Linked DNA regions of Nothobranchius furzeri. The protein of the gene in region 2 binds, or shares a complex with, the protein of the main gene of each other region. Links are inferred from orthologs where the notes say so. Each region holds a gene or a part of one and is shown on either strand. Other genes may lie near its edges. The genes, in order: ogt.1, phf20a, KAT8 regulatory NSL complex subunit 1 and kansl2.

The links.
Region 1: phf20a (region 2) and ogt.1 share a complex: the UniProt entries of both Homo sapiens proteins name them as parts of the NSL complex. The link is inferred for Nothobranchius furzeri from reciprocal best matches to the Homo sapiens genes PHF20 and OGT.
Region 3: phf20a (region 2) and KAT8 regulatory NSL complex subunit 1 share a complex: the UniProt entries of both Homo sapiens proteins name them as parts of the NSL complex. The link is inferred for Nothobranchius furzeri from reciprocal best matches to the Homo sapiens genes PHF20 and KANSL1.
Region 4: phf20a (region 2) and kansl2 share a complex: the UniProt entries of both Homo sapiens proteins name them as parts of the NSL complex. The link is inferred for Nothobranchius furzeri from reciprocal best matches to the Homo sapiens genes PHF20 and KANSL2.

What each region holds. Positions count from the first base shown.
Region 1 is NC_091741.1:100,472,153-100,476,228, forward strand, and holds the start of ogt.1 (UDP-N-acetylglucosamine--peptide N-acetylglucosaminyltransferase 110 kDa subunit), read left to right. Parts: upstream 1-1,260; 5' UTR 1,261-1,476; coding exon 1,477-1,513; intron 1,514-3,309; coding exon 3,310-3,490; intron 3,491-3,898; coding exon 3,899-4,076. UniProt on the Homo sapiens protein: Catalyzes the transfer of a single N-acetylglucosamine from UDP-GlcNAc to a serine or threonine residue in cytoplasmic and nuclear proteins resulting in their modification with a beta-linked N-acetylglucosamine (O-GlcNAc).
Region 2 is NC_091743.1:40,242,624-40,246,798, reverse strand, and holds the start of phf20a (PHD finger protein 20), read right to left. Parts: upstream 2,843-4,175; 5' UTR 2,689-2,842; intron 1,225-2,688; exon of another isoform or gene 1,202-1,224; intron 826-1,201; 5' UTR 802-825; coding exon 719-801; intron 1-718. UniProt on the Homo sapiens protein: Methyllysine-binding protein, component of the MOF histone acetyltransferase protein complex.
Region 3 is NC_091756.1:53,931,860-53,935,423, reverse strand, and holds part of KAT8 regulatory NSL complex subunit 1, read left to right. Parts: intron 1-3,415; coding exon 3,416-3,540; intron 3,541-3,564. UniProt on the Homo sapiens protein: Non-catalytic component of the NSL histone acetyltransferase complex, a multiprotein complex that mediates histone H4 acetylation at 'Lys-5'- and 'Lys-8' (H4K5ac and H4K8ac) at transcription start sites and promotes transcription initiation.
Region 4 is NC_091755.1:57,565,326-57,569,328, forward strand, and holds the start of kansl2 (KAT8 regulatory NSL complex subunit 2), read right to left. Parts: upstream 2,802-4,003; 5' UTR 2,730-2,801; coding exon 2,671-2,729; intron 2,615-2,670; exon of another isoform or gene 2,288-2,614; intron 1,327-2,287; coding exon 1,072-1,326; intron 1-1,071. UniProt on the Homo sapiens protein: Non-catalytic component of the NSL histone acetyltransferase complex, a multiprotein complex that mediates histone H4 acetylation at 'Lys-5'- and 'Lys-8' (H4K5ac and H4K8ac) at transcription start sites and promotes transcription initiation.

The DNA.
Region 1 (4,076 bases), on a different chromosome or scaffold from region 2:
GATAATTAAACAATGCAAATAATGGACACCGCTGATTTGTGTTGGGTAAATGGGGTCAACCACAGCTGATTCTAGACCGTTTTTTGAGCTTGCTGCTGTTTTCGTGTGTCTGTTCGTTGTATTTAGAGTGTTTTGTCTTGCATGTTTCATGAATATTTTGTTCACTGGAAGCAATGACGTAAAATCTGATAGCGGTAAAGGAGAAAAATGGCCTTTTTTGGAATGATTCAGAGTGTGAACATTAGTGGACAAAGAGCTCCCATCCAAGACATACAGAGTTTACAGGTTTCTTTAAACCACCTTTGCCACAGAAAAGAATCTCCTGGGCAAGAACTGAGATCAAAAAGTGGTCAGATCTTTTAATGGTCTTTCAAGCAAGAGCTTTAAACACTTAAAACAATTGCTTCTCTCTAAACCTCCTCCTGTCTTTAGACGTTAAAAATGTTTACATATTGAAGATTTTGCCCACAAGCTCTAATGGAAGTGTACGTCGTGTATTGACAGCACTGCTGTCACAGCAGGCCATATTGTGTGTTTTCTTGCCAACAAAGATCCTCCTATAGACTTTCTCCATCCATGTTGGCACCTACAGGCCTGCCGGATGATAGCTAATGTGATTTCATTTAATTTGTGTAAACGAGTGTCAAATGGGTGCTTCATGGACTTCTTACTGATGTATGGAGTTTCGAATTGTTAGGAAAAGGTGATTTCTGTTTGGTTACCCAAAAACAATTGAGTTCTACTTGAATGACTTCTTTGGTGTGGAAAATGTGTTGATCCAATGAAAAAGGGTTAACACATTAGCATGAGATGTCTTCTGCTCTGCTGAGATGTGATGATGAACACCGCGTGGATCCCGGTTTCATTAAGCAAACAGTGAAAAATAAATTAGCAGCCTGAACGCCATGTTCTAGTCGTGCACCGGCTCAGCTCACAGCATTCGTCCTTTGTCTCACTGCGCAGTGAGATCCCTCCGCTAGATAGTATTGATACCCACATTTGTATTGCTAAATGTATGGCACATAGTTGAAATTTTGGGGTTTCCGCACTATTTCGTAATGAAATACGCATATTAAAACTGTACGCATATTTAATCAAAAAACTGCCAGAGGGACCTAGTTTCTCTCTCATGAAAAACGAGTTCCCCTCATTTCGCCATTTCATGTTCCGCTGCTTTGTTGGGAGCAGGAAGACAGCCAGGTAGACTCTTACAGTGAACAATAGAATTTCTGTGATATTTAGTTATAGCAACAGCGTGATTTGACCGGTTAGTTAATCTTCTAATAAACAAAAAACACTGCGAAGGTGTTTTAATCGGATTTTTAGAAAGCTAAGTAAGCTAGCATTGCTAACTCGACGGGCAGCGGGCTAACTTTCAAGCACCGAGAATACGAGACAGAACCGTTTTTTTCCTGGGGCTGTTATTTTTCAGAAGACACGTTGACGACCACCGCACAAGACACGAAGACCGAGGAGATGGCGAGCTCAGTTGGAAATGTGGCCGACAGCACAGGTAGGCTGCTTATATTGCTAACTAATGGAGCTAGCTTGTAAAATAGCATTTCCTGCTAACGCGAGGAAGCGATTATTAACTGTAAAAATGATCATAATTAAAAATGAACATGGTTACACATGTTATACGAAGGCTTTAGGCCTACACTAAGTAACAGCTGTTTGTATAGGAAAGTGTCGCACAATTAAACCAAATGCGCCGGGTCTGCGCGTGTCATTGCCCCTTAACGTGGTGCTAAACTGCATATTACACGGATTACGTGTACATTTATTTTATTTTGATAGCGTGTAAATAGGATACTGCGATGAGGTTGGGGTACTGTGTTTTATATTAGCGTCAAGTTATTTTTTAAAGAAACCGATCCGGCATGGCGGAGAGTCCTGCTGACCCAGTCCGTGCAGACCGCACCGATGCCGCAGAGAAAGCTGAGGTTTCCTCCCAAAACTGCATTCCAGCTGAGTAATAATGAGTGGGACGTTGTATGAAATAAATCAGTCCTTTTCTCACGTTTAGGAGCGTGGTTACATAACTGTGAAGGGAAGGAAACTAAACCATGACGATTTCTGCTGCTGGTATTCTGGCTATAATACAATTAACTTTTTATGTATATTGGTCTCCATGGGGTTTTTATTTAGGTGATGTGGAATTGTAAGATCTGATTGCAGTGTAAATTAGATATGCGTTTGGACAACTGAAAAAAAGTATTTCTTTATTAAACCACCTTTGCCACAGGAAATAATCTCCAGGGCAAGAACTGTGAGAACAAAAAGTATGGTCTTTGAAGCAAAACTAAATAGTTATTAAATACGTGTGTTAGTTGGTTTCATGTAAAGTTTTATCAGCTGACTGCTACTGGCAAGTTCTAACATGATTGTTTTTGACCAGCATCATTTAAATTAGAGACATATTCAGATGTAATTTAAAAAAACATGTTAAAAGTCTGGCTTGGCCAGATCAGATGAGCAGTGTTGAAATGTCTTTGTAAATACATTTGGCCACACCTTTCCTTAGAAACCTGAGTTACAACAATCTTTCGTTTGATTTCTGGACTCTAAAGGCATTGATCTAAGTTTGTTTGGGTGGAGGAACTTTTCCAAAAATGATCTCTGTCTTTTTAAAATGTAATCATGTGATTTTCCTCCACATGTTCTCTGCCACTCCCTATTTCCTCTAAGCAAATATGGTTAATAATGGTAATGCATATGTGATGAAGATCCTTTGTAATGCCTGGACTCCAGAATGCCAACAGGATTCTAGAACATCTCCCTCTGTGTCATTCCCTTACCCGCTTGTTTATTCATCTTATCAATTTTCTTTTTTGTTCTGTGAGTGATAAAATATATTTGCATTAATATTGGATTGTTATTTTTGTGCTTAATAATCTCTAAGCACAATAAAACAGATTAAAATGAAATTATTTGATTAATTCAACACTAAATTGATTCAGTCAGCATTACGTTTTATTTTGCCGACAGTAATTTTAAAATAAAAGACAAAGTTTCATAAAGGAGCAGTTCATTACAGCTATTCAACTCACAAATCACTCTTAAGATTTGAATTATAATGTTATCGAATACAACAATGTTTTAAAAATGATGGTTTCCAAACATTTTCTATTATATCACCTTTGATTTTGTGACCCTTTGATTTTGTTTGTTGCTCCATTTTCTGTTGAGTTAAAATTGTTCTTTATTGAAAGCTTTGCCATCTGTTTGTTTTTCATTTGTCTTTCATTTATTCCATCACCTCTAACATGTCGTTTTCCCCCCCCTCCTTGGCTCATGTTGGTGCTCCAGAACCAACAAAACGTATGCTTTCCTTCCAAGGGTTGGCGGAGCTGGCGCACCGCGAGTACCAGTCAGGGGATTTTGAGGCAGCTGAGCGTCACTGCATGCAGCTGTGGAGGCAGGAGCCTGATAACACAGGCGTGCTTTTGCTTCTGTCTTCCATTCACTTCCAGTGTCGAAGACTTGACAGGTGAGGTGTAATGGGAAAGGCTTTAAGCAGAATGTGGTGTGGAGATGGCAGAACTGTATTGGGCTTCTGGGTTTGAGGTCGCACTCATCTGAGCTGGGAGATCAAGTTAAACATCTGAACTCTGTGGGAAATTTAGTTTAATGAGGTCCCCCCCCCCAAAGTCCAACATGGCTTTGTTCTTCGGGTGCTGTGGTTTAAGTGTTGCTTCATCCTTAATTCCCAAACGGAGGGTTAAACTATAAATTGGAAGTTTTAAGTTTGATGTTTTGTTATAAATGTAATAATATTGCACTTATTCTCTTCCTTCAACCTTTCTACACGTTTCTGTCGCCTCTAGCAGTAAATGATAGTAACTGTTGCCTCTGGGCTCCTGGGTTTTTACGGTTTGCTCCTGTTTCTGCCCTGCAGGTCCGCTCACTTCAGCACCTTGGCCATCAAGCAGAACCCAATGCTTGCTGAGGCCTACTCCAATCTGGGGAATGTGTACAAGGAGCGCGGTCAGTTGCAGGAGGCCATCGAGCATTACCGCCACGCTCTGAGGCTGAAGCCAGACTTTATTGATGGATACATAAACCTGGCAGCAGCA
Region 2 (4,175 bases):
TTTACTCGTTTATGAAGACGGACGAGACAGAAAATAAGAGCAGTAGTAAGCAGCACCGTAGAGCTACGTGTGACAACTGCACCAGTGTTCCCACAGCTCAGACTGATGGTGGATGGCAGCAGAACCAGGATGCACTTAATTCGCTGGTTAATTCAGATTTAAATGAGTTCACTTGTAAATACCTAACAGGAATAAAGATGTGGAGCTACAGGTTCTGGTCCAAATGGCCCAGCCCTAAATGAGACGATAATAACCTTATATGATAAAAAAGGAGCCAAAGAGCTTTAGAGAGAATCCATTATTCATTCACTCTGATGGTGGTGAGCTACATCTATCTCTCTCTCTCACACACACACACACACACACACACACACACACACACACACACACACACACACACACACACACACACACACACACACACACACACACACACACAAAGTGACAGGAAAGGCTGGGATTGAACCGCCAACCCTCAGATGACTGGATGATGCGCCAGTATTAGTGGGATTAATATCTAATGTGTGAACTTGCATTTACAAAAGGAAGTTGTGTGTGTGTGTGTGTGTGTGTGTAATGTAAACATTCTTTTATGATTTACATGAAACCAAATAAATCATCCATGCTCTGCTGAACCCGAACTCTTCAGACCTTCATTAAACGTGTGATGAATGTATGTAAATGAGGAATGAGGGGGATGAACGAGGCCATGACTCACCAGTTTTTGAGGCTGTCTCTGGCCTCAAGCTGAGCTCCCACCTCAAATGTTATCCCTCTTCTGTTAGGGGGCGTCTTAGTCATACTGCCCACATCAAGGCTCCCTTCCTGTACACACACACACACACACACACACACACACACACACACACACACACACACACACACACACACACACACACACACACACACACACACACACACACACAACAGTTAACACACTATTAAAGAACGAGGCTCGTTGGTAAACCCCAACCCCCATAGTAATGTGTGTCTAACAGCGCACACAAACACACACACACACACACACACCCTCAAGTCAGTCCACTCATCATGAGGTAGGTTTGACACTAAGGTCGTGAGATGCCTTCCTGTACACAAGCACAGCAATAATACTAGCCAGGCTGTGGGGATGTATTTTATCTGGAAACACACACACACACACACACACACACACACACACACACACACACAGGTGTAGTACCGAGGTGAGCCAGGCCTCTGAAATGGTGGTGAGTATGTGGAGAAGACCGGGTGGTCAAATATTCAGATGAGCAGATGCAACAGGAATGACGTCACATGCAGATTCAGTGCCCCTCCTCATCTGGAGGTCAGAGGACCAAACACCTGAAGCTGTCGGTTCTGAGCACTCACCTAACCAGGTCCAGGTCGACTCACCTAACCGGGTCCACTCATCTAACCGAGTCCAGCTAGGTCCACTCACCTAACCAGATTCACTAACCAGGTCCACTCACCTAACCAGGGTCACTCATCTAACTGGTCCAGGTCCACTCACCTAACCGAGTCCAGCTAGGTCCACTCACCTAACCAGATTCACTAACCAGGTCCACTCACCTAACCAGGGTCACTCATCTAACTGGTCCAGGTCCACTCACCTAACAGGGGCCGGGCTCACATTCAGAGCCGCCCGGCTCGGCCCGCCATCATGGAGGTGTATGAATGCAACGCACTGCAGCCTACAAACCGGATGTGTCTACGCGCCGCTCAGCCCACGTGTTTTTCTGCTTAGTCCGTTTCACGCAGACACAATAGGAGACAAAAGGCTTATCATCTCCCGCCTGTTGCAGCTAGAATAAAACCACCATTATATCTGGACACAATTCCACTCCATCAAATACAGGATTTTTACCTTAATCTAAGGACTTTTAATGGCGGTCAGGAAGCCGAACATGACAGCCCAGACGAGGAGGAGCAACCAGCGTTAATTATGTCAAAATCAATGTTCACGTTGAAGAAAGGAGGTCATATGCACGTTTTTAGTACAGATTATTGCATTTTCAACCGAATGTTAAAAAGAAATCGGGGTTACGAGCCGCATACGGGCTGTTTTTGTTAGTAGGTTCAAAACATGAACGCACGCGAGTGTGATTTTAACCGGAAACACAAAATGAAACCGTATCCTAAAAGATTTCCAGCCGATCGGTTGTTTATAACTTTCTTCTCTGACACTTTATTGTCTGGTGTTTTATAACTGTAGGGTGTAGCGCGAGAAGCTGAGCCCTACGTCAGTGCTTTACACACATGTGATTGGCCGAGTCCGACAAAAAAGTAGGCGTGACCTCATGCCTGATTGGACGCATGAAGCCGTCACTCACAGGGAAGCTCTGGCCTCGCGCTGGGCCTAACCTCCGTACTTTTCCTACCGTGAACGAGCGGCGTGGAAACGGAGCGCGGCAAAGTTGTTCAGCAGAGAAACGCAACAAACACGCAGAGTCACCCGGTAAAAAGACCCGCATCCGTAATTATAGAAACACACGAGTCAGCGAAGACCGAGCAGAGACACGCTCCCGGGGAGCCTGTTATTACCCACTTGGTCGCGTTTGTTTTGAACTCTGAAAGCCGACATGCGGCATCAAACCGTGGATGAAGATGATGCAGCCGCCAGGCAGGCCCGCTCATGGCGCAGCAAACACATAAAAGCGCGGTCTGAAGATGACTCGGCGTGCCTACCTGTTTCCCAGTCTCTCGTTAGCAGGCTGGTTGGGTAAAAAATGTGCAGCGTAATCCTTCAAATGCGCAGATCCCGCCGCCTCCGCCTGTCTGCTCCAGACCACGCAGTTGAATTTCTCTGTTGTTCATCGGTGTTGTGCTGAGAAGTGCGTGCTTGTCGAGATTCTCGTACCTTCTCGCGGGAACGCGCACTCCAAAGAAACGAATAGAAATAAACGCAAACCTCTTGTTCGTGGTAAATAAGGGTGACATCGTGCTTTCTACGTCATAACTAGTGAGTTGGACTTCATCAGCACGTGTCATGTATAAACATCAGCTTAAAACAGATGATGCGTGTTCTGCTCTCCCCACCTATTCCACCTCCCTCAGGATCCACTCACTTCTTTCTTATTCACTCTCTCTCTTTCTTTCATTTTTTATCACAATTGCCTATTTTTGCTCATTTTAAATATATTTTTAATAATTTTCGATTTTTTAAAAATATTTTTACATTTTTTGTTTTTGTGAAGCGCCTCGTGATTTTTTTCTTGAGAGGCGCTATAGAAATAATATTTTCTTCGTCTGGTTACTCGGATTATTGCAGATTATTATTTACAGAGAAGATAATCCATGTCGCTAAAACAAAGATGCATACGTTAAACATTTTCATCATCAAATTATTCTAAATGTATCTGAACTAAGTAACGGCTGCATCTAATTCCCGTAAATAAACATCTGTAAACATCTTCCATGTCTACCTTTGAACTCTGTTTATGCGCGTTCCCGCGACGGAACATGCAGATCTTTGCGGGTGGGCTGTTTTAGCCTCACCGCGGGGACCGTAAAACTACAGTGCGCATGCGCGTCCAACGAACAATTTAAGCGTTCCAATTGGAGGAGGGATTTACGTTTTATGTGTTTTACTGCTAGTTTATGGTTAAAAATGAAGTGAATTAAAATAAGGTTGGATCTTTTTTTTTTTTATCTCGGTGAGACATTTTCATCAGCCTCCTAACTTGTAGAGATGGGAAACAGTTACAACTTTCCTTTATTCAGAACAAACCGCCTTATTTAAAGAGCTGAGTCTCCTCAGTCCTGAGTCCAGCTTCTAGAAGATGGACATTTGGTTCTTGTAGACTGGGGTAGAAGACTCCTTCCCTGAGGGCTAAAACAACTAAAACATGCTATTCAGCATGTTTTGTTTCCCTGCTTCAACACACCTGATTTCATTCAGCAGGTGTCTTAATAGACTTTAGCAGAGCCAAATGAGCTGCTGAACAAGTGAATCAAGTGTGTTGGAGCAGGGAAACAACTAAAACGTGCTGGAAACCGACCCTTGGGGAAGGGAACCCTGTTGTAGGTGTTTCCACCGTCATGCAACTACAGGAAGAATGAGTTGAGCGTGGCATAAGGTCAGGATATTTCAGACCAAAGTGACCATTACATTTTATTACATTGACTTAATGCTACACTGTCAGCCATTTTTAGTTATATTGGAACTAATCTGA
Region 3 (3,564 bases), on a different chromosome or scaffold from region 2:
GTGGAACAGACATCCCTTTAACCCAGAACTGTGCTTATTGGGAGATAAATCTCAGTTGCCTAATGTAAATAAGTGTAATTTTTCAATCATCTCAGTGGGATTAACAACAGCCTGTGGAGTCATTTTAAGACACTGGAAAGCAGTAGAATCTCCAGAGGTTAAGGAATGGGTCTGTGCAATGGCCGAATCTGCATCATGTGAATGTATGCTCAGTAGTAGTTGTAGTGAGTGAAGACAACAGAGAGGGAACTGGGATGGATTCTGGAACTTTATAAAGACAAAGGCCTTGGGTGAAATCAAGCACGTTATGTGACTGCTGTTACTCAGACATTACGTGTCTGCAAGAGTTCTATGATTGGGACCTGTATCCAAAATCAACTGTTATATCTGTATATTTAGTACCTCCATGTTTAGTATCTATTGAGACTGCTATGTACCAGCCCCTAAAAGAAAGTTCAATACAAACTTGAATAAAAAAAAAAAAAAGAAGTGAATTGGAAGTCCAGTGGGCAGTATCCACCACCTCCATCTTGGCCACGTCATACGTCTTGTCACTCCAGGAAAATACAAAAATAGAGCTGTGAGGGTGGAGGGCAGGTAATTGACTCCCATCAAACTCTGAGCCGAGGTGGCTACGAGCTAACCAAAGCTAACGGAGGTTGGTGGGTGCTCGTATCCAGAAAACTGCAATTGACCGACTGCTACCCTTAGCTTTGTAGGTTATAATGCTTTTAAAGGGTTCGTTACGGTGCTTGAAATCCTTGACAATGCTTTTATTTTAATAACATGTTTTCAAGGTATGGAAAGTGCTTGATTTCTGTATTAAGTATTTGAAAATGTTTGAAAAACAAACTTCAGTTTTATATTTGTGATCAATTTAGTTTGATTAAAAAACAAAATTTGTAAATACTGAAAACTAGAGTTATCATTTTACCTTTAATAAATGCTGCTGCTGCTGCTCCATGGGGGTCGGCTCTTTTCTGTAACACCGGTGTGTGAGCAGCAGACTCCAGCGGTGTCTTCTGGCTTCGCTTTGTAGCAGACCCACTTTAACTATGAAACATATTTGCTTGTCACGCGCGTGTGCTTTGGTTCTAGGATCCAGCGGGATGTGATGCTTAGTTATGCAATCAGGACTGTAGCAGGGTACCCAAAACAACAGTAGGAAAGATTTTTTTCGCTGCTAAGTTTTGGTACTTTCCCTGTTATAAGCTGCAACGCCCCACTCCTCCCAATGCTGCGGTTCACATCAGATGTAGGCTGCTTTCTCGGCCACTAATTTTGTTTACAAAACATCTCCGAGTTCGTGAACTAATAAAATACCAACAAAAAAAAGTTTCGGCTGCATCTTGTTGAAGTAAACAGTAGAACTAAATGTAACGTGTTCAGATTTGTTTCACTAAACATAGAAACACCAGTCATTTAATAAAGCACTTGGTCATTCATCGCGTCTGTTTGTGAACCGAAGCTTCCATGTACTGTGTTTGGTTGCAAAAGCAGACCAGACCTACTGTGGCAAGCCATTTTATCATTTATTCAGCAGCAACACCTACTTGTAATACCTATGATACACAGGGACAATATAATTCAACCTAGTCTGTCTCTCTTGTCTCGTCAGGAAGACCATTGATAAAAAATGTGTTAATATTACTAACATGTTTGATTATAGCTTCATTGCTTAGAATTAAAATAGTTTAAAAAGTGTGTGGCTGTGTTGTGCGATAAACATCACCAGGATACACGCATGTTGCGGCTGGCAGGCTCGCTCTTCCCTGCACCTGTAGTGCTGGATGTGAAAAAAGTGATGAGAAAGCAGCTCCTTCATCGGCTCCAGGAGGCTGCACAAACTATTTGCAACCACAGTCATTCAGCGTGAATAATGTACTGCTTTCCTGGTTGTGTTTTAGCTGTTCATAGGCAATTTCTCTCTCTGTGTTAGCTAGTTGTGTGTTTTTGTTTGAGTTGCTGCTGTGAACTGGGAGAGCTGGGTGTTTGGTTTCAGGGTGGCAGACTAGAACTAAAAGCAGATGGTTAAAACTAAGACATCCTTATGTTTGAAATTCTTTCTGAGGATGAATTTAAAAGGTCTTCCTTGTTGCTTTATAGTGTTATATCTGATCTCTTTCACCTGCTTCCAATTTAAAATAATGTGATCAGGGCCAATGTCCAATCCTGTGATTGGATAAGATCGTCACTGTTAATGTGAGGTGAGGTGAAACTCTCCTCTTGAGTTCTTGTGTATTGTCTTGTCTTTAACGTATGATGCTTAAGAAGTCTGAAAATTAACCTTGGAGACGCTTGAATTTGTCACTGGGAAAAGTGTAACAACCCTGTTTTAACATGAGGCTGAGGTTTTTCCCTGGAAACCCAAAATCATCCGCATGAACCTGGTCTAGCTGGCTCTGTGTGATGTCACAATCAGATGTGGTTCTGATCCAATCAGCTTCAGATGAAACACAACCCGTGTTCTTGGAACTGTCGATGGTCACAGGAGTTTTACTTTGAAGGAACAAATCTACTTCTGCCTGAAAACAGGAAGTGAGTTTATGATCAATCAGATGGAGGGCATCTAAGTGTCCTTTACTTACTGGAATAAAACATGTAGTGTTTAATTTTCAAAAAGTTTTATTAAACAAAATGTCTGATTTCATAAACATGTATTTGGGGTTATTTATGAACAGTAACAAAAACCAGGCTCTGGAGTTTTAGGGCTGATTTATGCGTCTCCGTCTGCGTCAGTGTGGAGACACGCAACGCCATTATCCGTCCTTGCGTAGGGCCCTGGCAGGCACGCAAGTACGTACGGAGTCGAGCCCACTTTTCTAAACATCCGTCCGTCGAGATGGAGAACGCACGCTTGTGATTGGTCAGGGCATCGCTGTCGTCTACACCGCCGCCATTGCGCCCTCAAAAACATAAAAAGAGCCGAGAATAACTAGCGGCAGACACGGAGAAGCTTGAAGAATACCTCGCGAAAAAAACTATAAACGTTTAATTCCCCCGTAGCTGGAGGAGTGAAAAGATGCGCAGCAAGCGTTTAATTTGTGGACGGAAATGACAGGAAACGTGGGTTTAGAGGTGGGGAGCGCATGAAGGGGTGAAGGAGAATGAGAGACAAATTTGTCCGTGTTAAAAAGTCTCTTATGTACAAAAAACACAATATAAACACACGATCTTGGACCGATACCTGACAGGATACCACAGAACAGCGCTACGCCCTCTGTTGTCCTGGCGGGGAATTGCTTTGCAACACTCTCCAGGAGACGGAGAAGTATGAGAGCAAAACGCTTCTGTCTGTCCGTGCGTGTCTGTCCCTTGCGGAGCTGACGGAGAAGCATGAATCAGCCTTAAGATCAAGTGGGTGTTGACCCGCTTCAGCACTGGTCTGATTTGTGTGTTCTGATTGGTCTTCCAGCAGCAGCCCATCAAGCGGCGGCGAGGTGAAAGCTCGTTTGACATAAACAACATCGTGATACCCATGTCGGTGGCAGCCACCACCCGGGTGGAGAAGCTCCAGTACAAAGAGATCCTCACACCCAGGTAGAGACTGCGTCCAAGTGTGGT
Region 4 (4,003 bases), on a different chromosome or scaffold from region 2:
TGTTTTCACAACACTTAACGTCCGGTGGAAAAAAGTCTAAAGGCTGAAGCCCCCCCCCCCACCCCCACCCGGCTCATGGGTCTTCCTAACAAAGACAAATTAATGCTATTTTCTAATCCGCTTTGCCTTACGTCCTGACTCACACATATATTGTACTTCAATTTAAACGAGAAAAAAAAGTGTTTCAACGATGTCTTTTGCGTACTTTGATATTAGCTTGTAAACATTTGTAATTAAAATGACTACAAATTACAAGTCACATATATGACACTGCACAATCTCTTCTCCCCAGCGTAGCTGCTACTTATCACATGTGGTTTTCTCCACTTTTAATACTACTCAGGTATTTGCCGGCTGGTGTCGAATTACAAAAACGGGCACCGCAGAGTTTATCAACAGACTTGGCAACGCCACGAGCTCTGATTATAAACAACGACTACGCTCCTCTTTGAGCATTGTGAAAGGAGAATAACCAATAACCCTTTAGCCTGCTGAGAAGCAGATCTGTTTCAATGTAGCCTTCCTTTCATTATGATTGAGACATTAGGTGTTTTTGTGATAATTTCATTGTAAAATGTTCATATAATGTACTATTAAACATTAATTCAATATCATAACAAGAAACCTTTCAGTGCATTGAAATTTTCTTACATTCCTAGTGATGATGCTAGGGTACATAACAAAACCATACCGAGACCTGCTACAGGAGGTGGTCGCCGAGTGGTTCCAAATAAACTCACTTATTTTTGGACAGATGCCAAGATTTATTATCTCTGAATCATAAAAACACATTCAAAGGGTTCAAAAATAGCTCATGATCACAACACACAAGCTTCTTCCTGTGTTTACGTTTGTAGCCACTCCCCAGACTATCTGACTACTCAGAAGACTGAACAGTCTCACTTGGTTTGTAGTGAGGTCTCATGTTTATTTTTTTCTGTACAAAAATAAACTGAAGCGCAGAAAAACCCCTGTAATGTAACAAAATCACAAAGAAATTTGGACCAAAGGAACCAAACTGCAGGTGTGAAAACAGCCTTAAAGTTGATGAATGTGTGAACTTCTGCCTACCCATCTTTCCTCTCTGCCTTTGGAGCTGCATTGGGGCAGCGCTTGCCGTTCTTGACAGAGACATAGCTGCACTGCTTGTATGGCGCATTCTTGTCTTCAAGAATGTGTTTAATACAGAACTCCAAACCTTCCAGACGTGGCTGAGAACACGGTCGTAGGGTGAAGGAACAGGCCTGGGGCTCCTGTGGACGAGTCTGGGCCACCCGGTTACGACTCGAAGGCAAGACGTGGATTCGTATCCTGTTCATTTCAAGCCTGAAAAGTATCCACAAAATCATTAACATGGATTTTTATATAAATACTTTAGGAGAAAATGGTTTAAGTAGACTCGGTCAAGGTAGAGTATTCCTTAGTTCAGGGACTCCAACCCTGGTCTTCAGGGGCACCATCCTACAGGTTTTATCTGTTTCTCTGCTCCAACACACCTAATTCAATAGATGAATTACCTGTTCAGCAGGTCATCAAGCCTATTGACCACCCACTGAATAAAAGCTGGTGTGTTGAAGTAGAGAAACCTCTAAAACGTGCCAGAAAGGGTCCCACAAGGACCAGGGTTGTACCCTACTGCTCCAGAAAGTTGAAGCAGCAAGTCAGCGAACACGTTCATGCAAAATGGTAAACAATCATTTGGTTCAAAATAAAATACTATATGTACATTTTTACTATTAAGCTGATATTTTTAGAGACAATTTATAATCAGTGGTGAATATTGATCATTTTCACACTGCCATTTTTCTATTGCTTGTAGAAAAAGGAACAGTCTAAATGTTGTCTTTTTATATTTAATTAAAAAATATGTGGACATCTTTTCTTTACAAGCCAAAAACATCACCGTATGTATTCTTCGATGACAATTTCAGATACATCCTTTGCAGACATGGTGTGAGGACATTTCAAGAGCATTTCTAAGGGAACATCGATGTTCATTATTCTATCTGTAATCTTCTAATAGATTATATTTATCTATGTTGGTCCACTTCTATTTCCACAAGGCCGCACGATATTGGGAAATTATGCCATAATATTGTTGACAGTAACAGTAGTGATACACCCACTGACTAATACGCGGATTGTTTCTGTGATTCTTTTGAAAACCTCTGCAAAACTGACAGTCTGTGACAAAATACAGTTTTTAAATCCCAAGTCCCTAACGCAAACAAATCTACAGCTACATTAGCTAAAGCTGGTAAACAACATAAAACAGTTTCATACTTACAGTAAACAAACACACGCGGCAATAGTTTCTCCACACTACTAACAATTTCTCTAATTTTGGACCAGACAAGAAGTATCGAGGTTCTACACAGAGCAGAAAACCGTCGCTGGTCTACCCAAACGAAAGGCCACGCTAACGACGAAAAGGACTTCAAAACATGTGGAAATAGGAGACTACAACGAGCTTAAACCCGCCTCTTCACTGCGTCACTCCAAATCCTGCAGTTAATGGGCCGCCATTTTTGTGTAGCTAGTGACAACGGCAGCTGACTGACAACTGGAATAATTCGAAGCGAGGGAATTAGCTTTTCTGATAGATGGCAACAGTCAGACATTCATCTTAGTGTTATTGAAATAATTTGACATTAAGATGTAAAACAATACCCGTTGTGTGAAGTAAAACTGCTCGCCCCTCTCGCGTCTGCTGTCCTCACAATAGACATGTAGCACAATGCTAACCTTCGTGCAGTTTCCTCAGCATGTCGGCAGCCCCGCCCACTCTAAGCTCTCATTGGTCAGGATGGGAGACACCCAGACGGTTTATTGGTTAATCCAACTGTCACTCATTTCGGAGGCAAACTTGTTGAGACGACACTGACGGGTGATTGTAAAACTTAAAACCAAAAATGTATTTAAAATATTTATTGACTTTTAGAATAAAGCAACCACATATCAAAAAGAACAGTGTTTACATATAACTTAATGAAAAAAACTTTTATTTCCAGACCTGAGTGTCAATAAAAACACCAAGACAAGAAGAAACATGAAACTTAAGACTATTGAAAATGTGATTTTTGCATTGTTAGGTTGCATGAGTGTCTTCTGTTTGTATATATATATATATATATATATATATATATATATATAGGTTTTTATAATAAAATGTGTTCCACGATTTTCCCCATAGCATGTTAATACTCAAGTTCAACGCTTTCTCCAAACCACATAGCTCATGTTTTAAAAAATGCATTTGAAATTCACTTTCCTTATTTACCCACTGTACAAATTAACACTTTGTCAATTACATTGCAGTCAAACCCACAAAGATAAATATTCAGTGCATTTAACCAATTCCCAGTTACAACAAAAAATTGAAGTAAAACATCTGCTGCTTGAGCAAAGAAATATTTCTTTTCCAGCATGTATTTCAAGGGAACAAAAATGTAGTTGCATGGCTGATTTGTTCTACTGCATTGCTGTAAACTGCCTTAACCACTTTATATGACAACATAAAAATAAGGTCAAAGCAGTAATACTACACAACCAAACCCATATAAAGCCCAATATGGATGAAATGTCCAGATGACAGCCGAATCTCCTACCAACAAATATAAAACCAAGCATCAAATTTAAACAATCACTAAGTGACTTCATGCTCAAGAACCTGTACCGGAGATATACCGACAGCCAGCATGCCATCTAGGATTTTACTAATTTACAGAACACATGCGAATTTAAGAACAGTGTGAAGATGGGTTACGAACAACCTAGTATATAAAAATAGAAGAAAATAAAAACATCAGAACATGAGACCAGAGAAGTTGTGTACCACCGGCTTTGACATTCCAGAAACCACATGATTATTTTTGATACTGTATTATTGTGCTGTTGCATACTGAACATTCATAGGTGATCGGAAAGCATAATAGATGTTTTTGACCCAGCTGTTTACAAACGAGCACTGTTGGGCAATCAGGAAAAAAATAAAAATAAAAAA